Arabidopsis thaliana: one gene and its partners. The protein of the gene in region 1 interacts with the protein of each later gene in a pairwise test. Each region holds a gene or a part of one and is shown on either strand. Other genes may lie near its edges.

Evidence for each region.
Region 2: the proteins of CDKC;1 (region 1) and AT5G45190 interact in a protein complementation assay, tested with the Arabidopsis thaliana proteins (one study listed by BioGRID).
Region 3: the proteins of CDKC;1 (region 1) and CYCT1;4 interact in a protein complementation assay, tested with the Arabidopsis thaliana proteins (one study listed by BioGRID).

Annotation. Positions count from the first base shown.
Region 1 is NC_003076.8:3,220,742-3,226,412, reverse strand, and holds CDKC;1 (cyclin-dependent kinase C;1), read left to right. Parts: upstream 1-1,624; 5' UTR 1,625-1,738; coding exon 1,739-1,851; intron 1,852-2,030; coding exon 2,031-2,112; intron 2,113-2,239; coding exon 2,240-2,330; intron 2,331-2,431; coding exon 2,432-2,461; intron 2,462-2,553; coding exon 2,554-2,663; intron 2,664-2,752; coding exon 2,753-2,825; intron 2,826-2,898; coding exon 2,899-3,019; intron 3,020-3,135; coding exon 3,136-3,253; intron 3,254-3,559; coding exon 3,560-3,699; intron 3,700-3,780; coding exon 3,781-3,838; intron 3,839-3,990; coding exon 3,991-4,061; intron 4,062-4,187; coding exon 4,188-4,698; 3' UTR 4,699-4,920; downstream 4,921-5,671. Other genes in the region: RABH1e (RAB GTPase homolog H1E), read right to left, coding at 5,112-5,255, 5,354-5,444, 5,522-5,633.
Region 2 is NC_003076.8:18,276,898-18,283,660, forward strand, and holds AT5G45190 (Cyclin family protein), read right to left. Parts: upstream 4,978-6,763; 5' UTR 4,821-4,977; intron 3,869-4,820; 5' UTR 3,837-3,868; coding exon 3,612-3,836; coding exon of another isoform or gene 3,610-3,611; intron 3,547-3,609; coding exon 3,523-3,546; intron 3,421-3,522; coding exon 3,403-3,420; intron 3,182-3,402; coding exon of another isoform or gene 3,175-3,181; coding exon 3,100-3,174; intron 2,760-3,099; coding exon 2,625-2,759; intron 2,399-2,624; coding exon 2,223-2,398; intron 2,134-2,222; coding exon 1,982-2,133; intron 1,879-1,981; coding exon 911-1,878; 3' UTR 723-910; downstream 1-722.
Region 3 is NC_003075.7:10,670,905-10,677,635, forward strand, and holds CYCT1;4 (Cyclin family protein), read left to right. Parts: upstream 1-1,860; 5' UTR 1,861-1,962; intron 1,963-2,464; 5' UTR 2,465-2,552; intron 2,553-2,694; 5' UTR 2,695-2,714; coding exon 2,715-2,941; intron 2,942-3,395; coding exon 3,396-3,477; intron 3,478-3,867; coding exon 3,868-4,002; intron 4,003-4,238; coding exon 4,239-4,414; intron 4,415-4,502; coding exon 4,503-4,654; intron 4,655-4,774; coding exon 4,775-5,628; 3' UTR 5,629-6,025; downstream 6,026-6,731. Other genes in the region: AT4G19590 (Chaperone DnaJ-domain superfamily protein), read left to right, coding at 262-1,386; AT4G19610 (nucleotide/nucleic acid binding protein), read left to right, coding at 6,578-6,579, 6,664-6,731.

The DNA of each region.
Region 1 (5,671 bases):
CATCATTTATGGACCAGAAAGTGGGATAGTTATACGTGTTGGACATAGAAGTCACAAATGGCTGACCACTCCCTTGAATTAAGAAACACAAGAATAAAATATCACTGAAATCACCAGAATAGTAGGAGATGGTAGAACAACTCCACTACGTAGTCATCATCCCACAGAAGAAAGTAGCTTGGAAGAGGAATGTTTTGGTTAGCTTGAAAACTACACCATCAGACAGAAAAATCAGTAAGTAGGATCATATCTCAACCCCATTGTGGAATATGAACCAAATATGCAAGTCAATTTCTTCTACAGACAGTGGATTGGATGAGAACATTGTTTATATATAGTCTTAACATTATTTTATCATTAGTTCATTTTGAAACTTCCATCAGTCAGATTCCCTATATATATAGTAAGTTCATAAAACTAAGAAGAAAAAGCCTATATATCTTTCATATCATTGTGGACCAACAAACTTAAACAAAACCAAAACATCAACGGATCAAGTTCAAGAAACATATATAGCACATACTTAAGATACTTATCTATCTTTCCCATCGCCCAAGTCGAACTCTAATATCGGTTACAAGAAAAAAAACCTAGCATGATTCATAAGAGATAAAAGAAATATCATCCATACGAAACAAAAGAAGGGAAGATTTATGTATAGGGTTTGATTCAAGTGAATGACCATAGAGAAACATTTTCCTAGAAATCACAAAACCCAAAATTAGACCTACCCACACCAAAATCAAACTTCCGAAATAACCGTCCTTCACCGATGTTAGCATGAAACCTAAATTGAATCGGGTGAGTTAGGAGTTAGGACCAATAGCCGATGTTAGGGTTTGACAATGAGTAGGGAGATAGTGAATCGTGTCTTCCTGTAGGTAAAGAAACCGAGATCTAGGGTTTGGTCGAGATTCGAATGTTCTCGTTCTTCCTTTGAACCAGAATGGTCGTGTACACGGTTAAATGGCGTGATAAGCACGCTAACACTTCAGGAGTAATCTGTTCCTATCGCACCTCTTGTCACAGACGGTGAACCCACTGGAAAACCTAAGTGATTTTCTTAATTTTCCCGCTATTTTTGGGATTTCTCAAATTCGCCTCCAATTTTATTTACGAAAATCAAATTTTATCTCGAGCAGTAAATCTAGGGCGTTCGAGTGTCCACTAGTTTTTCTCTTTCTTTATAATATATCTAAGCTTGAAAAATAAATATTAATCAAAATGTATGAATGTTTACTTTATAGAACAATTAATGTATGATTTTTGTAATTGCAATTTGTTTTTTTTTTTTGTGACTTGTGAGTGTGCTTGGCATTGGCATGTTAAACAATTTTGTTGTCAAGTCTTTTATGATGAGAAAGATACATAAGAAACATAATCCCATAATTCCAATTTTTAAAAAATGGAGTTTGTATTTTAATAAATACTTTTGAAAAGATTATTTTTGTTGTGGTATTTTTGAAAACCGGTCAATAAAAATGATATTTGATATTTCTTTCATTATTTTATTTAAATTTAACGGATGATCGCTAATTTACACCAACCGCTTGTTCAGGGTTAGACCGGTTCAAACCGGACAATTCATAGATTTAAACCGAAACGCTAATTACATAAATAAGCTGGGAAACCTACGGAGAGAGAGTTGTCTGAGAGAAAAGGAAAGCGATCGAGAAAGACGTAATTTGATCATCGGAGTAAAAGATATTGTTCGACAGTGGGACTCCCGGGAACGAAGATGGCGATGGCATCATTCGGGCAGCTAAATCTCGAGGAACCTCCTCCAATCTGGGGATCTCGCAGCGTTGATTGCTTTGAGAAGCTCGAACAAATTGGTGAAGGCACTTACGGGTTATTCACTTTCTCTTTAATTCAATTTCACTCTTTGGTTATTCAAAAGGCTTAATTTTTACTTGGGATTGATAAATTATTGGCCTTTGAAGCGATTTTTGATTGTATGATTAGGCTTTTACAATGCCTATGTTGTGTTGCTTTTAGGAGATTTGATTGTTGTTGTTTTGCTGTTGCAGTCAAGTTTACATGGCTAAAGAAATCAAAACTGGTGAAATTGTGGCTCTCAAAAAGATACGTATGGACAATGAAAGAGAAGGGGTATGTGAATTCTTCACTTTATATGGACTATACGTTTTTTTTATGATGCTCACTATGTTTAGAACAGATGCAAGTTTTTGTTTACGATAGGAATTGTAACCCATTGTTTACAACTGGTATGATGCAGTTTCCTATAACAGCTATTAGAGAGATAAAGATTCTGAAGAAGCTTCATCATGAAAATGTCATTCAGCTGAAAGAGATTGTGACTTCACCAGGTTTGTTTAAGGAACACATATGTTGCACTGAATTAAGTTAGCTATTTCTATATAAAGAGGTCTAAACATTTTGTGTTTTGAATGGTTCTGTCTCTTAAAAGGTCGGGACAGGGATGACCAAGGAAAGCCAGGTTTGTGAAAAAAAGTGATTTCAACTACTGTCTTAGTTTCTGCTTATTGAGGATTTCTTCTTAACTAAAGGTTGTGGCTTTTTCACCTATAGATAATAACAAATACAAGGGTGGCATCTACATGGTTTTTGAGTACATGGATCATGATTTGACTGGACTAGCAGATCGTCCTGGACTGAGATTTACTGTTCCTCAAATTAAGGTATTGCACGGCTAAATAGCTCGTTACTTCTATTAGCCTTTTTCATACTTATTGTTCAACTTTATTCTAACACTCAATCCATTTAAAAGTGTTACATGAAGCAATTGCTTACCGGGCTTCACTATTGTCATGTGAATCAAGTGCTTCACCGTGATATAAAAGGTGATTTTCCTTAATACAATGTTGATGTTTGGTTATCACCTTTACTTGCATATTAACCTAGATTTTGATCCAGGCTCAAATCTCCTTATCGACAATGAGGGAAATTTAAAGCTGGCTGATTTTGGGCTTGCACGGTCGTATTCTCATGATCATACTGGAAATCTTACAAATCGTGTCATCACATTGTGGTATAGGTAAGCCTAAAAATCGTCATTCAAAGTTTACATGATATACATAGATAGTCTTAATATTATGGTCTTTGCTAATTCATTGTTATTACTACTTTGCTGATTTACATATATTGCGGCAGGCCCCCTGAATTACTACTTGGGGCTACAAAATATGGCCCAGCAATTGACATGTGGTCGGTTGGTTGCATATTTGCCGAACTTTTGCATGCAAAACCAATCTTACCTGGGAAAAATGAGGTCAGCGTTTCATCTTTGCTGAAAGCGCAGTTCTTTTGAAAATTTCAGATGTTAAGACAGTGTGCTTTCGTGCCACTAATAATATAAGAATCTACATGGTCTCCTGGTTGCATTGTGATATCATTGGAGTAGAAAACCTAAGGGATTAACTAGAATTAGATTTATCGGCACTTTTATTTTGGGACCGTGGGAGGCTGGTTAGGTTCTTTGCATTATATCATGTATACAAAATGGTATAGACGCAGTTATGTATACATGTTATTGATAATCTCAAAAAAATATGTGCCATCTCCTACATTGTTTCAGCAAGAACAATTGAACAAGATATTTGAGCTTTGTGGATCACCTGATGAAAAACTTTGGCCTGGGGTTTCCAAGATGCCTTGGTTCAACAATTTCAAGCCTGCACGGCCCTTGAAGAGGCGTGTAAGAGAGTTCTTCAGACAGTAAGTAAAGTAAACCATTATATATCTCCGCTTTACTTTGATCAGAAGATTTCATTTGGCTTTACTTTCTCTTCTGTACAGCTTTGATCGGCATGCTCTTGAATTACTGGAGAAAATGTTGGTGCTTGATCCAGCACAGGTATCAGAGACCTTTATTCTTATTCCCAGCGAATTATCTTTCTTAAAAACTGTCTTTTACTGTTTTTTGGATGAAACATACCTCTTCAAGTCAGGACATTGTTAACACCATTTAGATATTTAATGTCTCCTTTTTTTCTTTCCCCTGTGTAGAGAATATCGGCAAAGGATGCTCTTGATGCCGAGTACTTTTGGACTGATCCGTTGCCATGTGACCCAAAGAGGTATTTGTATATTCTGATTTTCTCTGACAAAGTTCATGAAACTCATCTGGTGCATCATCATCTAGCTTATTAGACAGGCGATCGTGGGGAATTTTTTCTGACTAAATTAAGGTTTCATTTCAACAGTCTGCCCACATATGAATCATCACATGAGTTCCAGACAAAGAAAAAGCGGCAACAGCAGCGCCAAAACGAGGAAGCAGCAAAAAGACAGAAACTGCAGCATCCACCGCTGCAGCACTCTCGCTTACCCCCATTACAACATGGTGGACAGTCTCATGCTGCTCCACATTGGCCTGCAGGTCCAAACCATCCCACTAACAACGCACCACCACAAGTACCTGCTGGACCCAGCCACAACTTCTATGGGAAGCCGCGTGGTCCACCTGGTCCAAACCGCTACCCTCCTAGCGGAAACCAGAGCGGGGGTTATAATCAAAGCCGAGGAGGTTACAGCAGTGGATCATATCCTCCACAAGGACGTGGAGCTCCTTATGTGGCTGGTCCTAGAGGGCCTAGTGGTGGCCCGTACGGGGTTGGACCTCCTAACTACACACAAGGTGGTCAGTATGGTGGCTCTGGTAGCTCGGGAAGAGGGCAGAATCAGAGAAACCAGCAATACGGATGGCAACAGTAAAGAGCTCTAATGATTTGTTGATCTGATATCTTACTCTTACATTTAATGTGATACTAGTAATAAACTAATAATAGATTAATATGAGAAACTGAATCTCTTTCTTTTCCCAATTCTTTCCAAGTCTTATTTCGTTATCCAAACATTTTCTAGTAATGTCAAGATGGAGACTGACAGTGTGTGATGTAAAAGAAATGAGCAATGAGAACAGAGCAAAACATGCCATTCTTCTTCATAAGCTTTCAGACGTCTTTATTACACAACTCTATATTGAAAACAAAACCTCTCCAAAGAAAAACTAGAGTCTCCAAGTGTAATCACCTTTCCTCATACCAGGATTTATTTGTTCCATAAAATTATGAATCTTTCGTTTAAAAATCTTCCTATTCTGCTGCTGTGTATATATTTAAAACTGATTAACAAGCACAACCACCTCGTTGTTGCTCCCCTTGAGCCGAATTGCTCGAAGTCTTTAGATTCACATCAACCATATCCTCTTGTTTCGTTGAAGAAAGTGTTTCCATTCCTGGTAACGCTGCTGCAATCTTGCGAAAAAGTGGCTGCAAGTTTCCAAAACACCAGAACAAGAAAGCCAAGCGTTATTCCAAGAAATCTCAAGATCTTAAACGAGTAATGAGAGCATAGTTGCATCTCTCACCTTGATGTTAAATCCTGCTTTTGCACTGGTCTCAATGAATATTACTCCATAATCACGAGCTTTGTTATCACCTTCCTCAATCGACACTTGCCTGTCAAATGGAAATATCAAGTTGGATAGCTAAATAGAAAAAGCTTCCATGTCTCATTCTCGTCAAGTGTTTCTTACCTTTTGTCGACGAGATCTGTTTTGTTACCAACCAGAACAATGATGACATCGCTACCTCTCTCTGTACGAACATCCTCAATCCACTTGGATGTGTTCAAGAATGACTGCCTATCTATACATTAAAATAACAAAACAAAAAAGATGAGACTT
Region 2 (6,763 bases), about 15 Mb from region 1:
AACAAAACAAAACTAAATAATTTCTTTACGTAGGTTCAGGCTTCTTTTGCCAAACTCTAGGTTGGTGGAAGTTGATTTTTTTATATTTTATATTTAGTCTAGGAACAGAATGTTCTACTCTATAGATCTCTTCCTTTCTTTTCTAGATAACAGAAGAGTTACATATTTAGTTATTTTCGTTCTTTCTTTCTACATGCTTTCTTTGTATTTATGCTTCCGAATCAGATGGCACTTCTCCGATAGGTCATACAAAATATCACTTTTCGAAGAAAACAAAATCTGACAGACTTAAAAGTACATATAGTTCATTTTGATACCGTACAATACAAAGGTTTCTCTCTTTTACATCATATATAACTTAAGAAAACATTGGTCGTAACAATATTTTGGCATCAAAAGTAAACTCAATTCAACAATGTACAGTAACAAAGAAGTTATCAAGTGGACTTAACCACAACCTATACATTACTTCCTATGACCTGACACTAATTTTACCGTACTAGAGGAAACTTTTTCACAATGCGCATCAATATAAGGAAACGAAGTAAATGTGACTATGAAGTTGCCAAGCAGAATCAAACCTTAGCCCGGTTTAGATTAGATGGAAAAAAGCAGGTAATTATGCATAATTAAAGAACCCTAGCATGGAGTGGTTACAGGAAGAAACACCTAATTAGCTTCTCAACATCCTTTTAGGATGATGAGTCCTAGTTCAAGTCGTTGGATTGTGCAAAAATGCCACGAATAGATATATAATCAACATAAAATACAGAGAGCATGGTTCCAACGACTGAACCGACCCATGTAGAAGTCAAGTTCACATGGTTGGGCATCGAAGTGCCAAAGGTCTTTTAAAAAGACCATTTAGATGGAATACAAAGAGTAGCAGTTTTAATAATCATTACCTCTCTTATGAATGGTTATTCTCTTGTGAGTGTCTTCTGTGCTCTCTATCACCATGATGGCTACTACCTCTGCTCGTCTTATGGCTTTCTTCCCCATTCTCACTATTGTGGCGTCTCTTTCCTTCTGACTGCTTTTCAGGAGGGCTTCCCATTTTTCTCTTTCTGCTATGCATCATCGGGGACACATTGTTGTTTACCATTTCACCTTCCTCTGTATTTTTGACTTCTCCTTTAACATCTAAAATCTCACCATGTTCTGTACCCATGAGATCAGAGTTCTCCGCCTTTGGCCTGCTCTGTACTTTCCTTTCCTTCGTCTTTTCATCCTCAACAGCTAGTTGCACATCTTCCAGTTCTCTTTCAATCAAATCATCCTCATCCATCAAATCCTTTTTCCTCGTTCTTTCACCTAGCAACTTCTTAGCTTTCTCTCGTTTAGCCTTCACCTTATCTCGAAGCAATTTCAAATCTTTTGGCGATTGGCTGATTAGGGCATCACCCACATCAACATTTCGAGATTTATGAACAGCACCATCATCTTGTAGCTCTCCACCCTCTCTTTCTGAGTTGTCTTTCCCAGGTCCCTCAACTAAAGGTCTAGAGTTATGGGGGGCTTCTCTCACATTGTCCTTATGGGCTGGATGGCTTTCAAGATGTAGGCTGCTTTCTTTTGTTTCTCTCTCTATCTCCTCTTTGTTATCGACACTGACATTAGCTGCCTCACCACCCCCATTCTCATTGTTCTGATTCAATACTCCTTTGGATGAACCCCCATGATTATCAGAATTTGATTGTTCATGGGTTGAACGTACTGATGACGTTTGCCTAGAACCAACATGCTCATCGGTTGAAACCGCATTTCTGGAGCCTGGTCGCTGAGCTGACCCTCCACCTACACTACTCTCGACTTCACTTCCTTGAGATGCAGGGACACGATTTTGCTCATAAAGCTCAAGCATTTGGTTGCTAACATCTGAGATATACAAAAGACGATTACTCTTGAAATCATAAAGAAAAAGGGAATGGAAGTCAAACAAGGAAACAAGAATTGTCAAGTCAATTCATATTGTACATACCCTCCAGTTGTCTGGGTGTGACATCAAATTCTTGCCACCAAACCTTCTCTCCATCTGATGGTAACTTCACTTTAAGGAACTTGGCCGCAAGAAATATTGCACCAGCCGCAATATGATGAGGCTTAAATTGCAGGCAGAGAGATGTCCGTAGACTGCAAGCCACTTTTCATTGTATGAAGACGAAAATACAAGGCACATAGAATTATTGGAAGCTTTAGAAGGAAATAGTTCTTGAACGTACCCATCATTAACAAAATTCCATGCAACTTGGGCAAGTGCATTCTGTGCAACCTTAAATTTCTTTATTGCTTCTACCAGGGGTTTATAAGGATGATAAACATTGAGGTCAAAGCCTAGAGTGGAAAGAACAATTTTTTCTCCGTTTAATATAAGCTCTTTTTGTTGCTCATATACTTCCTGAAAAAGTGATATAGGTCAAATACATTTTGATATGCTGACCAACAGACAATAAATCAGGACCAAAGGACCATGGTTCTACAAAACAACGAAGCAAAGTCTGTAGCTAATACTAAAACCTCAATGTCAAATAAAACAAAAGATATGGGGAAAAAATGATACGTTCATCTATAACTAGTAAAACAGAGGTGAGAAATTAGGAAGATTCAGTAGTAAGATGGAATACCTTTTGCTTGATTTTCTGGGAAGCACCAGGATCCTTCTTGTTTATAATCTCATAGGAGACAAAAATAACATCTTTCAAGGGCCGTGGAGTTTCCTCAACCTTTCCAGCAAGGAACATGCATACAGTTGCAATGGTCTGCAGAAACAACATGAAGAGAGAGCTCAGTAAAGATCCGAGTATTTTTTTCCGCTCTAGAAGAAATAACAACAATCACAATTCACTAATTCTGCATAGAATAAGTAAAAAAGAAAAATCTAAATCAAAGTGGTAGCGAAACTATAAATGAAACTACAATAATGAGCTCTCTATAAATACCATGAAAAATGGCAAGGAGATGGATCCACTATATATAAAACCAATACATTTCAATACCTTAAATACTAGCCAGACTACAGCATAGTGGTTCAAACAACACAGAATAGAGTCATTTTTTTTTAAGCATTCAACTTGTTCAGGTGCAAAACAATAAACTCACCCTTCTGTCATTCTTTGCATGTGATTGGCGAAAGAAGAATCGATGACAGAAGATTATCGCTGTAGCTATTGTAACCTGGGGACTGATTGGAAAACTATATCAGCGACTTTCCAAGAGAGCCAAAAATTGAAATCTCTGAACAATGCAGAAACCATGACTACAAAAGCAAAATTAAGACAGTGTGGCAGTTATGTCTTCACCACTAATAACTGTCTCTTCCTTGTATTCATGCCAAAGAAAGAAAAATTGAGATAAAATAAACACAACTTCTACAACTTTCCGTTTAAAGGTGCTAGAACTAACATCAGTACAAACGTATGCCTAAAACCATCAGCAGCACATCAAATTCCAATTAAACGAAACCTATATGTAAAGGGGTAACTATTATCTGTCCACAATGATGATGGGACGGATTGGACGAACTATAATGTCAAGAAACCAAGCCAACTTGAAGCAGTTAAAGGAACAATGCACAGAAAGAAATCTAAGATGAGGTGATAGAGAACTTACACTTTCAATCTCATGCCCAAGTCCTGCAAAAATGTACAGTAGGATTTGCGGAGGTATGTTTCCTTCTTTAAGTCAATACCATCCAACCTTGACGGTGAATTCTCTTCTATTTCTTTTCTTCCAAAATACCAGCGGGAAACCTCTTCTTGCTTTTCATGGGAATTCCTTGAGTGTGATGAAACTCCACTCTCACTGTAAGAACATTCCCCAGCTAGTACTCCAGCCATTAGTATCTTCTAAAACCAAAAATTATCCCCACCTAACAAAAGCAGAGAACCAAAATGTGCATCACTTTACAAATAATAATAAGCCTGAAACTCAACACTAGAAAGGACAATTAAAGAGAACATAAGAAAAACCAGATCGATTCCCCAACAAACGAAGCTATGATCTTTGTAATTGCATTAAAACCGTATCTTTGAATAACAGATAATCTTATAAGCATTTAGAAAACTCTAAGAACAGGAATCAACTGAGGTTTCTAACAGTACACAGAAGGGCACAAAGGGGGAGATACTGATTCATGATTAGTGTCGTAAAGCAGAGTAGCAAAATGACAGCAAAGAACCAAAATTTGCTTCACTTTATAACAATCTGTGCAACCTAGCAAAAGCAGCGGACCAAAATGGGGCATCTCTTTACAATGGTAATAAGTCTGATACTCGACACTAGATAGGATAAGAGATCATCAGAAAAAGTAGATAGCTATGTTTTTTATACCCGCATTCGAACTTTGGCTTTGAATAAGAAATTAGCTACACGGAAGGGCACAACGGGGAAGAGACTAGTGACATGGCTTCAAGGAAACATAACCACATAGTCTAAAACGAGAGTCAAAGGGGATAAATCTTCTACAAGCTATGAACATGAATCATGCAAAGGATGAACCTTTACGAATTGCAAATCATGGAATCGAACTTGTGGTAACAACTTGATTAGGCTAAAAATTCATCACCAATTAGATACATTCGATCAAAATCCCAAAATTTTCTCAAAACACGAAACGATACCTAGAAAATTAGTAATTGAGCAGGAAAAAAACAGATCCAAAGGGTTTCTATAGAAATTAACCGGAAGATGGAAAAATTCGTTGAGAGATTCACTTGACGGTGGACAAAAAAGAATACCCAAATCGAGAGGATAAAGGAAATCAACGAGAATTTAAGACAGTAATTGAACGAGGGAGGGAAACAAAAAGATGGATACTTTACCTTAACTTCAATGGAATTAGCTTCTCTAGTTGCGAATTGCAGAAGAAGATGAAGAATAACGCGTGAAAATCAACAAACCCTAACCCTAGAGAGTCGCGAGAAAACGAAAGAGGGAAGAAGAAGAAAAAGGGGATAGGAAGTATTCTAAAGAGTTGTGATATTAAAAGCTGAGACCAGATTCACTTCTTTCCCTTTTTTCACATTAAAAGAATATAAATAAATTCATAAGCTAATCACTAATCGTCTTTATTGATATCTTTAACATTTGTTTTTTGAAATGTGATAAGAACAAAAAGAAAATCGACGGAAAAAAAAAGAAAAAGAAAAAGAAAATAGGAAACAGTTATTAGGAATTAGAAATCAAGAGATAAAATAAATATTAAAAGCTTATTATATTTTATATAGGCCTAGGTTATAAAAATGCGACTTTATAATTTTTATTATTTAAAGTAAATTTTTTAAAGTTGTTAACTCAAAATGACCGCGATATACGTAAATCACAATATATACATATATCACAAATTAAATTTTAATTATCTACTAAAGCTTTTGAAAAAATATAAAAATTTCTTCAAATATGTTTTTTTTGTGTATTTTGTCAAAAGTTTTGTTTTTTTCTTTTGTTTTGTTAAAATAACTCCAAAATTTGGATGTCAACTAAACATATAAAATGGTGAGATGTATAGATAAAGATTATAATAAAATATTCAATAGTATCGAAGATGAATGAGAATTAAGTATATATATGTTTGTGTAAAACATTTATGACAAGTTAGCAATATTTATAGTTTAAATCACATAGTATACTGTAGTAGTTATTTAGTAAACAACAAAAAAAATTACGTTATTTAAAAATATTTAGAGAGAATATTGAGATTAGAGTTATAACATGGGGCAGATGTAGGTAGAGGAGAGGTGAGGCACGTGCCCCACACTCATTTTTCAATTTTTCATTTTTCAAACTAATAAATATGTATATTTTAGTAGTTTAAAAAAAAGAATTAGATTATATCAATGTAAATATAATTTCTTAAAATTTATGAAATTCATTGAAGTTGTGTCTAGGCTTATGCTTTAAAAAAAAGAATTAGATTATATCAATGTAAATATAATTTCTTAAAATTTATGAAATTCATTGAAGTTGTGTCTAGGCTTATGCTTTAGAAACTTTGATCAGATTTGATTTTTTTTGGATTTGGATATTTCTGGTAGAAGAAGAGACTATTATCCATTGGGGTTTTATGATTATTCGGTTCGGGTAGGTGTAAGATTTGGAATGGTCGGAAAAAACCTACAAGTTGTTCAATTTTAATAAAAATGGTTTCAATTAATTAAATTTGGTTACATTTTGCAAACAATTATACATTTTTGACAAAATATAACTAATCCGACTCGAACCCGAATTTAATATGCCCACAAAAAATCCGATAGGTTTCGGGTTTAGTGGGTAAACTCGAAAAAACCTAGTAAAATCTGAATAATATGTGGATATCTAATATTATATTAAAGTTTTTCTTTTTTTTCTTCTTTAAATTTATAAGTATCTTTATTTTTTCATATTTATCTATACCATTATAAACTAATTTAGATAAACACTCCATAACAAACAATTTAATTTTTTTTTATCTTTATAAATTAAAGGATCCTAAATTAAATTAGAAAGAAAAATAATAAGCTTAGCAAAAAAAACAAGAAACCCTTCCCAACAGGAAAAAGAAAAAAAAAAAAAAAAAACACAGAAACCCTACGATACATTGAGACATGTGATCTTGTAAATTAACTCGCGAGATTCCCAAAGAAAGTGAATATTAGGTTTTGATTTTGAAAACCTACCCACGAAGCAATCGATTGCTAGAAACAAAGTAGGAAACCTAGCCTAAAGTGCTCTGTTTCAGGGAGAGTCTTTCAATCAAATTGGGAGAATTAGGGCTAGTCAGTTCGTA
Region 3 (6,731 bases), on another chromosome or scaffold:
TGAATTGTTTTTATCCATTCTTCGATTGTTGTTTGTGAAATTGTGATTGATTATGTGTAATTATGTAGTGGCTTTGGATAGAGTAACTTCAGATTCAGAGATCTGTGGCTAAGGACTTGTTTTTCTAACTTAGTGATTTTCATTTACGGTTTTGCTTCTGTTTTTCATCCTTCTTAATCCTTTTTCTTTTGGCTCCTCCAATTGGTTTTCCATAGAGACAAGGTGCAAAATCGTTTGAAGGATTCTTTGTTCAACAAAGATATGGAATGCAACAAGGAGGAAGCTATAAGAGCAATGGATATTGCTAAGAGGAAAGTTGCAGAGAATGATTACAACGGGGCTAAGCTTTTTGCTAACAAGGCTCAGGATTTGTATCCGAAACTTGATGGTTTAAGACAAGTGATGATGTTGATCGATGTGTATATCTCAGCAGGAAATACAATTAGTGGAGGAGAATCTGATTGGTATGGAATTCTTGGTGTTGATCCTTTGGCTGATGAGGAAGTAGTGAAGAAACAGTATAAGAGGCTAGCTCTTTTGCTTCATCCTGACAAGAACAATTGTGAAGGCGCAGAGGGTGCGTTTAAGCTTGTGTTAGCTGCTTGGTGTTTGTTATCTGATAAGGTTAAGAGAATTGCTTATGATCAGAAGAGGAAGTTGAACGAAGTTAAACCGAAAAGGAGTCGAAAGCAGAAACAACCTCCAAAGAAACCACCAAATCAGCCGAAACAACAACCAAATCAGCAGAAACAACCACCAGATCAGCAGAAGCAGCCACCAAATCAGCCTAGACAGCCACCAAACCAGCAGAAGCAACCACAAAACGAGCCGAAACAACCACCAAACCAGCCTAAACAACCACCAAATCAAGCAAGTACTAATGGTAGAGCTAGAAGCAAAAAGCCCACTTCCAAAGTTTCTATCTTTTGGACAATGTGCAACAAATGCGAGACACAATATGAGTATGTGAGGGTTTATTATCTTAACAAGACCGTACTTTGCCGAAATTGCCGTGGGAATTTTAAGGCAACTGAGATAGAGAAAACACCAACTGAGAAGGAAAAAACACCAACTGAGAAAGAGGAAACACCACAAGCAACAAACAAGAACACAAATGGTGCTTCGTCTTCTTGTGATAGAGATTCTTCACTAAATGTTAATTTTGATTCTAGTTTTCGACGGGATTCTTCTTTATCAAGAATGAGTTACTTTAACAGTGGAAATGTGGCAAATCAAGCAGAAGAAAGAGGGAAAAGAGAGGTAAGGGAGTCAGAAGAAGAAGCTGGTAGAGGAATTGCAAACTCTGATTTGAAAGTAGAAGAGAGAGTTTTTAAGAAGCTGAGGACAGATAACTATGCAGAGTCAAGTAGTGAAATCAAGGTGTGAAGTAAGCTGAGGACAGATAATTAGAAGTTTAACAGTGAAGTAGGAACTATGACATTTAGAAGTTTAACAATCAATGATTTTATGATTATGATATTTGAATATTTTGCATCTAGACTAGGATCTTGTACAGTGGAACCAGGTTAGTTCTTCTTCCTGTCATCTTCAATGTTGAATCTGAAATGTCAAAGCTTTATTTTATTTTTGTTAACAATGTGTGCTTTAACAACGTGAGTCAAATTAATCAAAGTGGGTTCACTTAAATTGTTGGAAGAAATTTTACTTCCACTAACTAAATATTTCCTTCTTCGGTCCCTTCATTCTCAAAAGTTTTTACTTTTGTCCCCAAATATTTTAACGGAGAAGATTTAGTCTCCTACTTCGGGTCATCATATATCACTTGAAAATCGGGATATTCGTTAAAAATCCCCCTTTTTTTTTTTTCTTTTCTTGCTTCCTCCCTTTTTTTTTTTTTTTGTTCTTTCCTTTCTCGCGTTTCTTCTCCTAGGGTTAGGGTTCGACGAACGCAGCTGTTCCACGCGTTTAGTTTCAATTCTCCATCGAAGAAGCCATAATCCGGTGCGTAATCATCGTTTTTGTTATATGTTTCCGATTAGGTGTATTATTTTCCGTTTGTTTTCTCGGGTTTGGTAGTTTCACGAACTTTTGCATCTCTCAGATCTATTGTACGTTTTTTCCTTCGTTTGTGACGGATTTTTCTGTGAAAAGAGTTTAAATTTCCATGGAGAATTACTCGATTATCTCTAATTTAACTCTTTGGCAATCAAATTTTTCGATTTTATTGTTTTTTTCTGGATGCGTGAGCTTAGTTATGAACAAGGAGGGTCAACTCGTTTACATGATTCTCTATTCACAGTATTTTCGTGGGAAAGGAGCAATTATGTTTTTGTTTTCATGATTCATGTCTTTATGTTGCATATTTTGGCCCCTTTTACTCTCATTTAGACTATGTGGTGTTTGTTTTGATGCCATTGTTTTGATTTTCCATCAATTAGTAATTTTTTCAGTCCGAATTTCAATTCTTCGTCATTGACCTTGTTGATGATTCCTGTGCTTTCAGATTCCTAAAGAGCTTACATTTGTTACTCAACTTTAAAGTTTTGACGCTAGAGATTACTATCCTCTTGCTGGGAACTCAACGTGACCAGGTATAAATCTCAGCTCATAGATAAGCAAAGTAGTTTTTTTCTACATCTCTTAGATTTGTACCCTTTTTAGCTCACAGTATCAGTTCAATAACCAAGCTGATCCCTCTTATGAACTTACATTCATTGGTTCTGTTTTTGCTAGACTGTGTTTGAAAGATAGCAATGGCTGGAGTATTAGCTGGGGATTGTTCATTCGGTGAGAGTGGTGTTTCATCTTACTCCAGGAATTCCAATGAAAAGCAGGACGAGGTTGCCCGCTGGTATTTTGGAAGAAAAGAAATTGAAGAAAATTCACCTTCAAGGTTGGATAGTATTGACTTAAAGAAGGAAACATACCTCCGCAAGTCATACTGTACATTTTTGCAGGATTTAGGCATGAGATTAAAAGTGTAAGTATAAATTTCTGACCTATATATTTCAGCTTTATACATTGCATTTTCCATTTGATTACTTCTTGCGAGCTTGGTCTAGGACATGCTAGTTTCTCCTACCATGATAATTGCCTCTATTTTGCTTATAGTATTATAGTGAATTCTTGATCCCCTTACATTAGGTTCTGTAGGATCGAATTTTGAAATTTATAGAACTTGATATCGTAGAGGTCATTAGAGCATGAATAAGCTAGTCAGAGTTATTGCCTTATTGGCAACAAAAAGGTGAAACTTGTGGGTTCATCTTGTGTTGTATGGCCCAATAGTCCTTTAATGGCTTTCTGAAATTTAGTATATAGTGATGAACACAATACTCTGAATTTATCTTCATATTGACATGGTTTCATTTGCACTGATAGCTTTCACTTTTGGCTCTCTCAATGAACGCGGCTAATATATTTTTCTAATACAGTCCTCAGGTTACAATAGCTACCGCAATTATCTTCTGTCATCGATTCTTCATTCGCCAGTCACATGCTAGGAATGACAGAAGGGTGAGTATATATTCTTTGCACATGGCGTTGTGAATACTTATATACATGGGCCTACTGTTTGTTGTTCGAGCCAGTCTGCTGCTATCTTTGTTTGCATGTATTTGAAGCATTAAATGGCTCCTTTTCCTTGCGTCCGCTTATATTCATTGTCTCCATGTCTCTGCCAGTTTCCTTTGTATATATATAGAGAGAGCAAATCGGCTGATGCATTAGATGAATATACACTGACTTCTCGCGAATATTCCTGCCATGAATATTAAGCGTTCTCTTAGTCTATTTGGTTAATGCATCTAGTTCTTTGTCCATATTTATCCTTCTAGAAACTAGCGCAGAACAGTATTAAGATTATTACTGAGTCCTTTTTCCATGTTGTCCTCCCTCCTCACCCAGACGATTGCTACAGTCTGCATGTTCCTTGCGGGAAAAGTGGAAGAAACTCCTAGGCCGTTAAAAGATGTTATTGTTGTCTCCTATGAGATAATACACAAGAAGGATCCTACTACTGCACAGAAAATCAAGCAAAAGGTCTGAATATTCTAAACTTTCTCTAATCCGGTTTCCTGTTTAGTAATAAGCGAATTTGCACTGTTTCTCGCATATTCTATTTTACTATGACATAAGTTTTCTACTAAACCCAGGATTGCACTTGTTTGTGAACAATCCTCCTATGATCATTGTCCTTGTCGTTGGATCTCTCATCTGTGCTGGTCACCGTCTCTATTATTTCTCTTCTTTGTACTGAACGTATTTCACTTTTGCAGGAAGTATATGAGCAACAAAAAGAGCTTATACTAAATGGAGAAAAGATTGTACTTTCTACGCTGGGATTTGACTTCAATGTTTATCATCCTTATAAGCCTCTTGTAGAAGCGATAAAGAAATTTAAGGTCGCACAGAATGCTCTGGCCCAAGTTGCATGGAATTTTGTTAACGATGGGTACGTTAAAAGTCTGTTTCCTTGAAAGCTTCAGATAGATCTATCTGTCTTGTATTTTCTTCTTCATACAATGAAAAGATGCTTGCAGTCTGCGGACGTCACTCTGCCTGCAATTTAAGCCTCACCACATTGCGGCGGGAGCAATTTTTCTTGCTGCGAAGTTCCTTAAAGTGAAATTACCATCAGATGGAGAGAAGGTCTGGTGGCAAGAATTTGATGTCACACCTCGACAACTAGAGGGTGAGAGAACTATCTTTATCTTTGAATTAATTTTATGAAACTGTTTCCACTTTTTCTGTTTGACTTGTATGCCTTATTTTGCATCTGATGCTAAGAGCTACTCCCTTATGTATACTGCAGATGTTAGCAACCAAATGCTTGAGCTCTATGAGCAAAACCGTGTTCCTGCATCTCAAGTAAGCGAAGTCGAAAGTAGTGTAGGTGGAGGATCAGCTCATCATGTTGGGTCTAGGCCATCAGCACGTCTAACTCATGAACATTCAAATTCTGATAATCTCGGGGGCTCGACAAAAGCTACACAAAACCGGAGCAATGATAATGGGAGTGGTGAGGCAGGTAGTGTCATCACCGAGCAGAAGGGGGAAAGAGATACAGAAACGAAAGATAGCATGCATACTGAAAGTCATCCAGCCCATAAGTCTAGATCGGGAGTTGAGGCACCTGGGGAGGATAAAATAGAGAAAGCAGGTGCACATTTTCCAGAAGATGATAAATCTAGAATTGTTGGTACAGCTGATGTCACGGTCAGCCAATCCCCAAAAGACATAAAAATGTTTAGAGATAAGGTGAAGGCCAAACTAGAGGCGAAGAAGGTCCAAGGTGAAAAGACGAGAAAGAAGGATTTGGTGGATGAGGATGATTTGATAGAAAGAGAACTGGAAGACGTGGAATTAGCTGTTGAGGATGACAAAGATATACAAAACAAAAGCTCCATGGGTACAGAACATGGCGAGATTCTTGATGGAAACAACTTGGTGGTCAATACCGAGGAAGGTGAAATGATAGATGATGTTTCTTCAACAATGCCTAGCCGGAAGAGAAAAATGGAAAGTCCTTGTGAAAAACAGTTAGGAGAAGGAAAGAGACGACACGACAACAGTGAGAATGTGGAAGAAGGTCAGAAGACAAACCCAGGAGGAAGTAGTCATAGTTATGGTGACAGAGAGCCAAGAAGACACTCCCAAGAGAGGTAGATGATCAAAACCTTCTCATGGTCTATTAGAGACATTTCCCAACCATGATGCGAAATGAGTCCACTGTATTTACAATGTTGGTTATCTTTTCATTTTCCTTGGCACTTGTATTCAACAGTTGAGAAACTAAATCAGGTTTCCATCCATCCCATAGGATTTAGGGTCTCTATAATTTTGATCTTTGTTAGCATTCCCTTTTGTATATCGGGGGAATAAAAAAGAATTTTGACGAATTTATTTAGAGCCAAGACAATATTAGTGTTTTGTCATTCATTGCCGAAGGATGTTTTGATAATAACAATATGAAACAGAGTGGTCAATTGATTTGTCAATGTGTAGTTGTTTTTGTAAGGTTTGTTTTATGTTAAGTCCACTCGTAACCTTGTTCCCATTGTCATTATACTGCTTTTCGTATGTATCGGTTAGCTTGGTGACCAATCCGGTTAACCACAAAATCAGGCGGAATAGTTGTCAAATTAAAGAGCAAAAAAGACTCATGAAAAAGAGCTGTAGGGGTTTTCATTTTTTCAATTCGTTTTCAAAATTTTCAGGTTTAAAAATAAATACAGGTCTGAATTAATTCGCTCGGTTTGAATTTTCGGGTTTAGTCCAGTGTGATTTAGTCGGTTAAGTTGCTCAAAATTTTGGATTTGGTTCGGTTTATTCATTATCAAACACAAAAACACAAAAAAAGCCAACCTAAAGAAGGAACAACAAAAGACCTAAAAACCCTCTCGTCTTCTCTTCTTCTTCTTCTTCTTCTCCTTGCTCTCTCTTGTCGTCGGCGGCAGATTATTCAATCGTTAGGCTATCGTTCCGACACTCTACAGTCATTACAAACATTTCAATACAACAAAAACTCATCCTTTTCTTCTCTTATTAACCATAATTTCGGATTCCCTTTCTAAGTATACAGCTTTCCCAGAACGAGCTCTTGCAAAGCCAAAGAATGTAAGTATTTGTTTCTTTAGGGTTTTAGCGAATTCAATCTTAGTAAGTCATCTTCTTCTTTTTTCGACCTTTGTATAATTGCAGGTCGAGGATTTGTGTTAAGAATTTGCCAAAACATGTGAAAGAGGATCAACTTCGAGATCACTTTTCAC